Caenorhabditis elegans: one gene and its partner. The protein of the gene in region 1 purifies or fractionates together with the protein of each later gene. This does not show direct contact. Each region holds a gene or a part of one and is shown in the gene's direction. Other genes may lie near its edges.

Evidence for each region.
Region 2: the proteins of ist-1 (region 1) and snpc-3.4 fractionate together in Caenorhabditis elegans (co-fractionation; one large-scale study listed by BioGRID). This does not show direct contact.

What each region holds. Positions count from the first base shown.
Region 1 is NC_003284.9:7,124,954-7,129,802, forward strand, and holds the start of ist-1 (IRS-type PTB domain-containing protein), read left to right. Parts: upstream 1-1,697; coding exon 1,698-1,912; intron 1,913-4,849.
Region 2 is NC_003281.10:4,018,172-4,022,383, forward strand, and holds snpc-3.4 (snRNA-activating protein complex subunit 3), read left to right. Parts: upstream 1-1,865; 5' UTR 1,866-1,988; coding exon 1,989-2,091; intron 2,092-2,136; coding exon 2,137-2,275; intron 2,276-2,326; coding exon 2,327-2,431; intron 2,432-2,476; coding exon 2,477-2,588; intron 2,589-2,636; coding exon 2,637-2,822; intron 2,823-2,880; coding exon 2,881-3,038; intron 3,039-3,084; coding exon 3,085-3,351; intron 3,352-3,419; coding exon 3,420-3,606; 3' UTR 3,607-3,712; downstream 3,713-4,212. Other genes in the region: tftc-5 (General transcription factor 3C polypeptide 5), read left to right, coding at 4,000-4,095, 4,141-4,212.

The sequences.
Region 1 (4,849 bases):
CTCAAATATTATCCACGATTTCAATCAAGTTTTTTTTCCGGCATACGTTCTTAATTTCAAGATGTTTAGTTCAAAAAGAGTATACAACATAGGAACTACAAAAAACCTGACAAGAAATGCAAAAAACAAAAGAAATTAAAAGGCTGTTCGAATTACACCAAATATCAAAATAAAACTTTTCAGAGAATTTTGAAAATTTTATAATGATTGTTGCGTTTTAGCACTATAGGTATAGGTATATGTTTCAATAATTTCCTTGATAGCATTTTTACAGTACTTCATTTTGGTTTTTTTTTTCAAAAAGCCCAAAAATAAATTAATTCTGAAAAGTTTTCAACAATTAATTTGAGTTTTCTCGTTGGGCGAAGTAATTGTTTATCATCTCTTAAAATTAGATAAGAGGGTTGATGTAGTTGTTTTATCAGTACGTCAAGTAGGTTCAGTTGCAGTTCATGCCAGTGTTGCATAGTTTTTTCGCATTGAAAAAGAATATACTTGCCTGTAAATTTGAATGCAAGAAAACACTTTTGTAATAAGAATCTGCACGTGCCAAAAGTACTTTTTGCAAAAAAAATCAGACCAATTTAATCCATTCAGTTCTTAACAAATCTTTCATGATGAAGCAGATATTTCACGTGGTTTACCAAAAGTTTTTGAGCGTTTGGCATTTATTCAGAGGTGTGAGCATGACTTATGACGCCTTATATAGTGGAGATAGGATTATAAAAAGTCATGGCAATAATGGAAAAACATATCACATAATAAAAAGTAGAATACGTGGATTTATTTCAATAATTTAATTGTTTTGAAAAAACCAAAAACTGAAAAAAAAGAGTACTGGTCAATCAAACAACGAAACATTCTAATTTCATTTTGTTTTAAAGGAGGGATATTGGCATGAGTTTCGCTTGTAATATTTAGTGTATAAAAGCTAATTTTTGTATAACAGCTAATTTTCGAACGCTGCAACATGAAAGAATTGGTAACCTTAGGGATTCAAGCTAAAATTAGGCAGTTTTGAATTTTGAAATTTTAAAAAGACATACTTTTAAAAAAAATTTTCTGAGAAGTTCATTACGAATTTTGTTGATTTGAGTTTTGTCTATAGAAGCAATATAAGTTAACATTAATAGTTTCTTGATAAAGTTGACAAAATTTCCAACTTTTTAGCTACTGACACCGATAGTGTTCAAACACCTGTTTAATTACTTTTTTTCAAAAAAAAAATCACAAATCTAATCATAATCAATCAAAAAATACTCGTGCTACTGTCTGCTTGATTCAGTACACAAACAGTCAATAAACCGGTGATTTGTCTCTCTATTCAGTGATTTCACGGCAACCAACCACCCACGTGTCCCCAAGTTTCCCAATAAGTTATAATGTTTTAGTGATATGCCCATGCGCTTCCAGAAAGACTAAAATTAAGCAGCAATGGAAAAAAAATGCACAAGCGTCACCTTCGTATCCTTCCTTTCTGCCTACACATGTCCTCGCAAACATTCCTAATCTCCGCCCCGTCTTTTTTCTTTTTGTCGACCAAAACATTTCTCATCTTCTTTTTACATCGCATGTTCCTGTTCAAATCACTTTGACACTTATCTTCATTCCGAAAGGTGATAATATTTTGTTCGCTGTTTATTGTTTTGTTGTTGTGATGCAATGTACGCAAGAATAAAATCAATTTTTTTCAGAAAATGTCTGAAGAAGAAGAATCTACAGATAATTCTGGGAAACCCCCTATAGAACATCCGCATGATAGAGAGGTTAAATCAGAAAAACAATCATCAAATGTGCTTCCTGGAATATTGCGACGAGCTGAATCCACGGATGATGCTCATCAAGTCAGACGATCATCAATGCGACCATATGAATCTTTCGATGGTTTAAAAAATGATGGAATACTGAAAAGGTAATTTTGTGTACATTGCAGTCACATTATATGGTTTCGTTATGATGAAAGACAAAAAAAACGTGAAAAACAACTTGCACATGACCCACGGTTAGAAGATAGTGTGATCAAATGAGGGAAATGAGAGATCAAATAGAGCATAGTCTCCAAATTTTACAGGAAGTGATAAACTTCACGTTTTTTCATATTTTTATTTTACCAGGATTATACTGAGTTCAATGAAACTGAAATTTCATGCAGTCCCTGGAATTAAAATAAATAGCCAGAGAAATTGTTAAATTAGAGTTGAGTTTTCGCGTAATTAAAAAATAATTTTAAAATTTTAAAATAATTTTTTATTGTTCAGGAGGTAAATGCATATTCCGGATACTCAATTTGAATTTAAAACGTGGAATAGCTTGGTGAAATGTGGGAAACCCTTTTCCTGTGATACTAAGATGATGAAATAATAATATAAAACGTTTTATTTCATATTTTCAGAACTGAAACTCTAAAAATGCTTCAGTACTCACTGTTTTCATTTCCGCCAAACCCATAACCCATGTACAATAGAGCGCCCTTGAATAATCTCTTAACTTTGTAATATCATTTTTTTAAATTTTTTTAATAGTATTTTAATACAAAAATGTTAACTAATTAGAAATTTTTTCAGCCTTGAGAAATAATAGAAAAATACAAGGCAAGTTTGAGAGAGCTCTATTCAAATCAAAGTCTGAGAGAAACTAAATGTTTTTTTTTCTAATTTTCAAAATTTATTAAGATGTTAAAACAATTTTTCATAAGCAAATTTTTAACTGATTTTGAACCTTTAAGTTGAAGCTTCAGACCTTGTTCACTATTTCATAAAAAATCGTGTGTAACCTTTAAAAATGTATCCAATGTGCCAGTAAAACATATATTTTTGTAATGGTACGTGCTTGCATTTTCGTTTTTTTTGTTTGATATTCCAAATGTTACAGGTTAGGTTAGAGTAATAGTAGGTTAAAGGTTAGTTATTACAGCCATTTGTAACCGACAAATTGCAAATCCTCTATCTATTAAGAAATCATCATAACTATTTTGTCAGACTCTAGATTTTTAAATCTCAAGTACTGATTCAGACATTCAGTTCAAAAGATTAGTTTCACAGCTTAAGAATATACTTATCTCTTTTGCTTTCACTGACTATATCCTTATCTTAAATTTATCATCAATTTTTTGACTCATCCCAATGAAAAGAGCCTTAAAAGTTTGGGCATGTTCTTTTTTTCTATTTTACAGCTGATAATTTTGTTACTAAAACAACTTAACTTCTATATTTTCTATCATTCTTTTGGTTCTCTTCATTGTCTATTATTTTTCTTTAGTTTTGTAGATTTCAGCTCCACTTGATTCTTTTTTTACTTGAAAATAGTCTCGATGATCATAATATTTGCTTTTCGGAACAAGTGCACTTTGTTTTCACCATTTCCGAATTTTTATTGTTAAAGTACAGTAAAGTAACATCTCTTCTGTTAGCTCGATTGTGTTCGCATGACTGCACAATGCTCAGGTGACCGAGCAAAACTAGCTGAAAACGCTTTTCAGGTCTATTCAAGTAGAAATCTGAGATGTAGAGAAAAAAATATATCTCCTCAGTTTTCAAAATTTTGAGTTTAAGAAAAGTTTTGATAACTTTTATTATTAATTTTGAACCCCTTGTTGTTTACACTCTATATTTCCTTTTTTCCTTTTCTCAGAACACCATCCGTACTTAATGGATGTGAGACCCAGCACGAAGGACATATAGAAATTTCAAGTGAGAGTAAGCAAAAGTGTTTTTTGGCTTCCCAAAGCTTATTCACGCAGCTAACAATTGCTCTTTCACCCACCTTTGGTTAATCCATCCTAATCTGATCGCATGGAGGGAATGAGGTGGGATGATTAGTTGGCATCGGGGAAAAAACAGTTGAAAATGAGGAATAAATCGGATTAGTTGTCATGGAAAGCTTGGGAGATATGCGAGGATTCGGGTTGGATGAATAACATATAGTGTGTGACGTCTTGTAAGATATCATCAGTTTTTGTTTTTGCCAAATTAGCAATTTCTTTGAATTTTTTCTACATTTGAACATTGCTCTAACGAACATCATTTTTCGTTTATTTTCTAACACACCTCTCTAGGCCGTTGATCTTTGAAATTGTTTATTGTACTTGTTTTGATAACCAAAAATCGGCGAGGAACCAAAACCAAGCCAATAAAAAAATATTGGCACGGTGTTATTTCAAATGCATTTCGGTTTCAAACTATTTTCCATATATTCATTTCAGTATTATGTATATCGGCACCGGTAACGGTCAAAATCGGCTATTAAAGCTCAAAATAAAAATTGAAAAAAAAAATCGCTTTGTATGTTTTCTACATTTGTTCAGTTTTTCAGTTCACAATTTTTCAACTTTTTTTTTGATTTCTCGGTTTTCATAAAATCAAAAATCGTACCCTTTTGTAATATGTTTTACTAAGAGTTCTCTAAAATATTATTTTTCTAATTTATTTGATTTTCAGTAGCAATTCAATTATCTGTTAAGCAAAATTGAATTTTTAACCTTTCTCATCATTTTCAAATGTTTAACCGTTCTCCCGCACAAGGTATTTCACAAAAGTAAAATGAGACCAAGCAGTTTCTCTTCGTTTTAAAACAAAGCCATCTATTCGAACATCACTATGAAAGAAAAAACCGAGAAAAACAAGGTTGTCTCTCAAAATCTAACACAGACGCACGTGCCCTCCCGTTCATCTGCTCTTCTCCGCTTATTTTCTTTCCCGGCCTTGTTGTGTCTATTTCTCTTGTTATCTCTTTTATTTTCTCTATATTTCGGCATACCCGACCTAACCGTGTGGTAATACTTTCTCGCGTTCACTTGTTTGAACTGCGATTGCCGATTGCGATTGTAGTTTGGCTTCCTGTCAACGTTTTT
Region 2 (4,212 bases), on another chromosome or scaffold:
ATTCGGATCGATAATCGCGAGAACACGGGGCGCGCGGCGCCCGCTCGCATTAAAAACCGCAGTGGCCACTGGGGCAGCAGTCGTTGTTGGACTGCAAAGGGTGGTGAAATCGAATAGACTATTGCGAAATATGCAGATATGGGTAGAATGGGTGAAGAGGAAGAGAGCAGAGGCAAATCTATTGCGAAACATACACAAAATGTCCATCAATTCCCTCTCTTTTTGCTTAATCCATTTGTTTTGCGTGTCACCACTAGGTTTGGCAGAAGGAGATAGAGCACACGACACAGATGGCTTTTCATCGGGTGCAATTTGGTGCTATTGGTTTGGGGTAGAGAGGGAGATGCCGCTTGGCGCGCAGTAATCCTATGGGAACCGAATGAAATGTGCTGGGGGCCTGCAGCTTTGAAAAGCCTTCAGAATAAAAGAGATGAAGACGAACCGTGAAGAAAAACGAGGGACAAAAACTAGTTCAATGCGATGGAAATCGTACCCCTGTTGACGGCTGCGGTGGTGGTGAATTGAGAATTGCGGAGAAAAGAGAAACGGAGATGACGTGGCAGTGACAATCGGCTTGGGGTCGCCTATACAATACGATACATATGCAGCCAATACTTCGTCACACATGCAGCCAGTCAGAGAAAGGTCAATTACCGTAGTACACGCGCCAGGAGACAATGTTAATGGGTACTATCTAGATCAGTTGCTGGTTGGATAACGATTTTAAAATACAATCCAAATCAACGGGAAGCTTCAAAAAAAAATTCCAAGAAATAACTGACGAAAAAAGTCGAGTTAAGGGTCGTGTGTCGGCGCTGGGGACGAAAAAGAGCTCTACTCTTACCCCCACTTTCCGTTGTCGATGAGACACATTATACCAAGCGAGAAACATAGAGACTGGCGCCGCCCGTGCTTCCCTCCCTTCTCCCGTCGTTTTTCTCTCCGCGCCCTCTATGTTTCGGATGGACAGGGACGCGAATGCTTTGTGACGGCCTTGACCAACGGGCGACAGCGGTGTCCCTTACCAACCCGCCACAGGCGAGGCATTTCAAAAAATGTGCCCATCCATCTAGCAATTTGAAAAGACGACGCGCCTGGCTTACGAAGTTAAGGAACTAGCCAACTGAAAAAGTGGAACTCAAAATATTAATCAGTTGCAAAGAGAAATTCTATTTCTGTGATTCATTCGGCGCCGAAAAGTAGAAACAACAGAAGAATTTGAGCTGATAACACGCAATCTAGGGAAATGATAAGAACAGAAACAAACAGCAAACAGTTTTTTGGGGAAATTATAATGGAACAGATACTAAAATGACCCGAATAACCAGAAACCATGACAAGCTGTGCAAATATGTTACACGAGAAGTACTTGTACATGTCGAAAATGATGAATGGTATCCGCCTATTGCGCCCGGTTGAGCTGATCGCAGCAAGGACATAATAATTATATATCAGATAAACACGGTGGCTGACCTTCAAGAAAGATTATGGCGGCCTATTTTATGCAATTTTATGCATCAATCACGAATAAAACTACAAAATTACAATTTCCCCAGTCTCCTAAACCGCTGAGAAGGGAATAGTTTATGAATGAGTCACCTTTCACAGGAAATGGAACAGAAAAAGGAAGCTAAAATGAGGGGCAGAACGTTTTAGGACAGACCATTTGCAAATTTAAAGCGCGAAACGATGCAGAAGTAGCTTGAAAGCGTTTTAGGCAAAAAATTGCAAAAAAAAGTAGCGAATGAAGATGAGAATGACAAAAAGAGGGAATGTTCGAGGCCTAAAATTCAAAATTTGCCGCCCAACAAAATTTCCCGCGCACACAAATGTGCATTATTGCGCGTCGGTGTACAATAAACTGTGCAAACACCGTTGTACACCGTACCCCTCCAGAAAATTGTTTTTTTTTTTGAAAAAGCAATTTTTCGAATTCTTTTATCCAACTTTCTCCTCCGTATAACTGTTTGAATTCAATTTTTAAATAAATGGACAGAAAGTTCAATTCTGATGAACAATGGTATATTTCTCCACTGCTCAATTTAGCCACAGTGAAGGAAGAGATGCTGGAAGTTCGAGAGTTGGGAGAAGGTTAGTTTATTATCTTAAAACAATCGAATATTGTCGAATTTTCAGTTATTATCGATAGAACAATGGACGATTTCGATTCAAAAACCGAAAAAGAACATGAAATGGAAATGTGGAAGAACAGTCTGTCTTATATTCAAGGAGTAACAGAAGAAGAATCATTGGAAGCTATTGAAGAAGTTTCAAAGTAAAGTAAATTTCAAAAAATCGAAAAACAACTAATTTTATTGATTTTCAGCCTCGATATGTTTCTGGAGGGGTCATCAGACGTTCAAACTCGACGATTTGAAGATATGAAGGGGGATCGCAAGTTCCTCGAACGATCACCGCTAGTTTCCCACAAGTAAATATTATTTAAACCTTTTATTCAAAAACTATAATTTTTCAGACATGTGATAAGTCGAGAAAAGACTATGAAAACTTCAAGGCAGCGGAAGTCCGCATATGTCACGTCACTGAAATATGACAAATACATGTTGAACGCCGGAGCAAATACTTCTGTAAATTAATTAATAAAAATAAAAATCTTTATAAAATAATTTTTCCAGCTTTTCCATCCTCAATGTTCAATATTAGAGAAATGTGAAGATGACATTGTCCTTATCGTTGATGCACTGATGCCATACAATCGAGAACTTTTATCTTCTGAACTTCGGAGCTCGCGACTTTTGAAGCCAATGACCAAGTTTCTTGTTCGTGGAGACACCCTTCTTTCGGATTTACGGCAGAAATTTGTATGATTTTTTGAATTTAAAACACACATTAAATATTTAATTTTTTTTAAACTTTCAGGTATGTCAAAGTGATACAATTGTTCCATTGGAGAATGGTTTGGAGCTGGATCCACCGAATTTGGATAATGCAACCGCAGTTCGATTTCCATCATCATTTATATTTGTTCATGATACCTTTTATGTGGATATGCCACCCAATGCAATTGACATTTCACAGTAATTAGTAATTTTCTTTAGAAAAATGTTTAAAAACATTTTTCAGCCCAATCCGCAACTTTATGCTTCACCGCGAGATTTATGATCCAGTGGAGGCTTGTAGTATGGAAGGAGTCAGAATTATTGACCTGAAGCTGCGTCTAGGGCAGCCGTACATATTCCAGCATTCTGGGAATTGTGAACATCTACTCGTTTTTCATGATTTGCGACTTCTTCATGAATCGGACCCGTGGGGAATCGATAAATATCCATTCACCTTATACGAGAAGGGAAATGAAAAGAAATGTGATATTTGTAAAAAAGGGCATGTGGAGTAAGTTTAATTCGCAAAAATTATTGTTTTTCCTCAAAGTAAATTAATTTAAAATTTTACATTTCCAGATTCGTCGTCGAACGCCACGAGCTTCTTCCCAACACCTACACACACTTCTGCAGGACATGCTTCCAGGAGTTCAACTATGTGCATGGTGTCAAGACGCATTCATTCATTGCTTGGCCGTATACAGAACTACAGACTGGAGAGCAAAGAGGATGGCCGTTTGGAGATTTTGAACAAGAAGATGATTGAAATAATTTTGATATTTATTTCTATTTATTTTGCAAAAACTTTATGTTTTTACTGGTATTTTTTATAGAAAAAAGGAAATGCTGGACATTTAAAAATTTTATTGTTCTTTTTTAATTGGATTTCATCTGATTGGTTTTGTAAACCATTTTTATATATTTAAATTTGAGTTTTTAAAACTATTGAATTCACTCGACAGGCGTATACGTATTGTGCGTCGAAACACGCTTTTACTCGTATAATTAAATTAAGAAGCGTGTTTTGACGCACAATACGCAACTCGGAACTTATGCGGCAATTCGAAATTAATTCAACCGTTTAAATTTATTTCGAATATTTGCAATCTTTATCAAATATTTAGACCACCTTAAAGAATAACAACTTATTTCAGGAAAAATGAACGATTTTCTCAATTTCACACAACAAAAACGCGAGGAGCCGCAGCAGCTGGTCCTAATCAAATATCCAGGAATTGTCAAAAATGTTGATAAGGTTGGAATACATACGGTATTCAGCAAATAAATTGTCTCTTTTCAGGCACTTCAAACGATGGGCGGTCTCCAACTAATCAGTCAATCTCACTTCAATAATCATTCACTGGAATTAAGT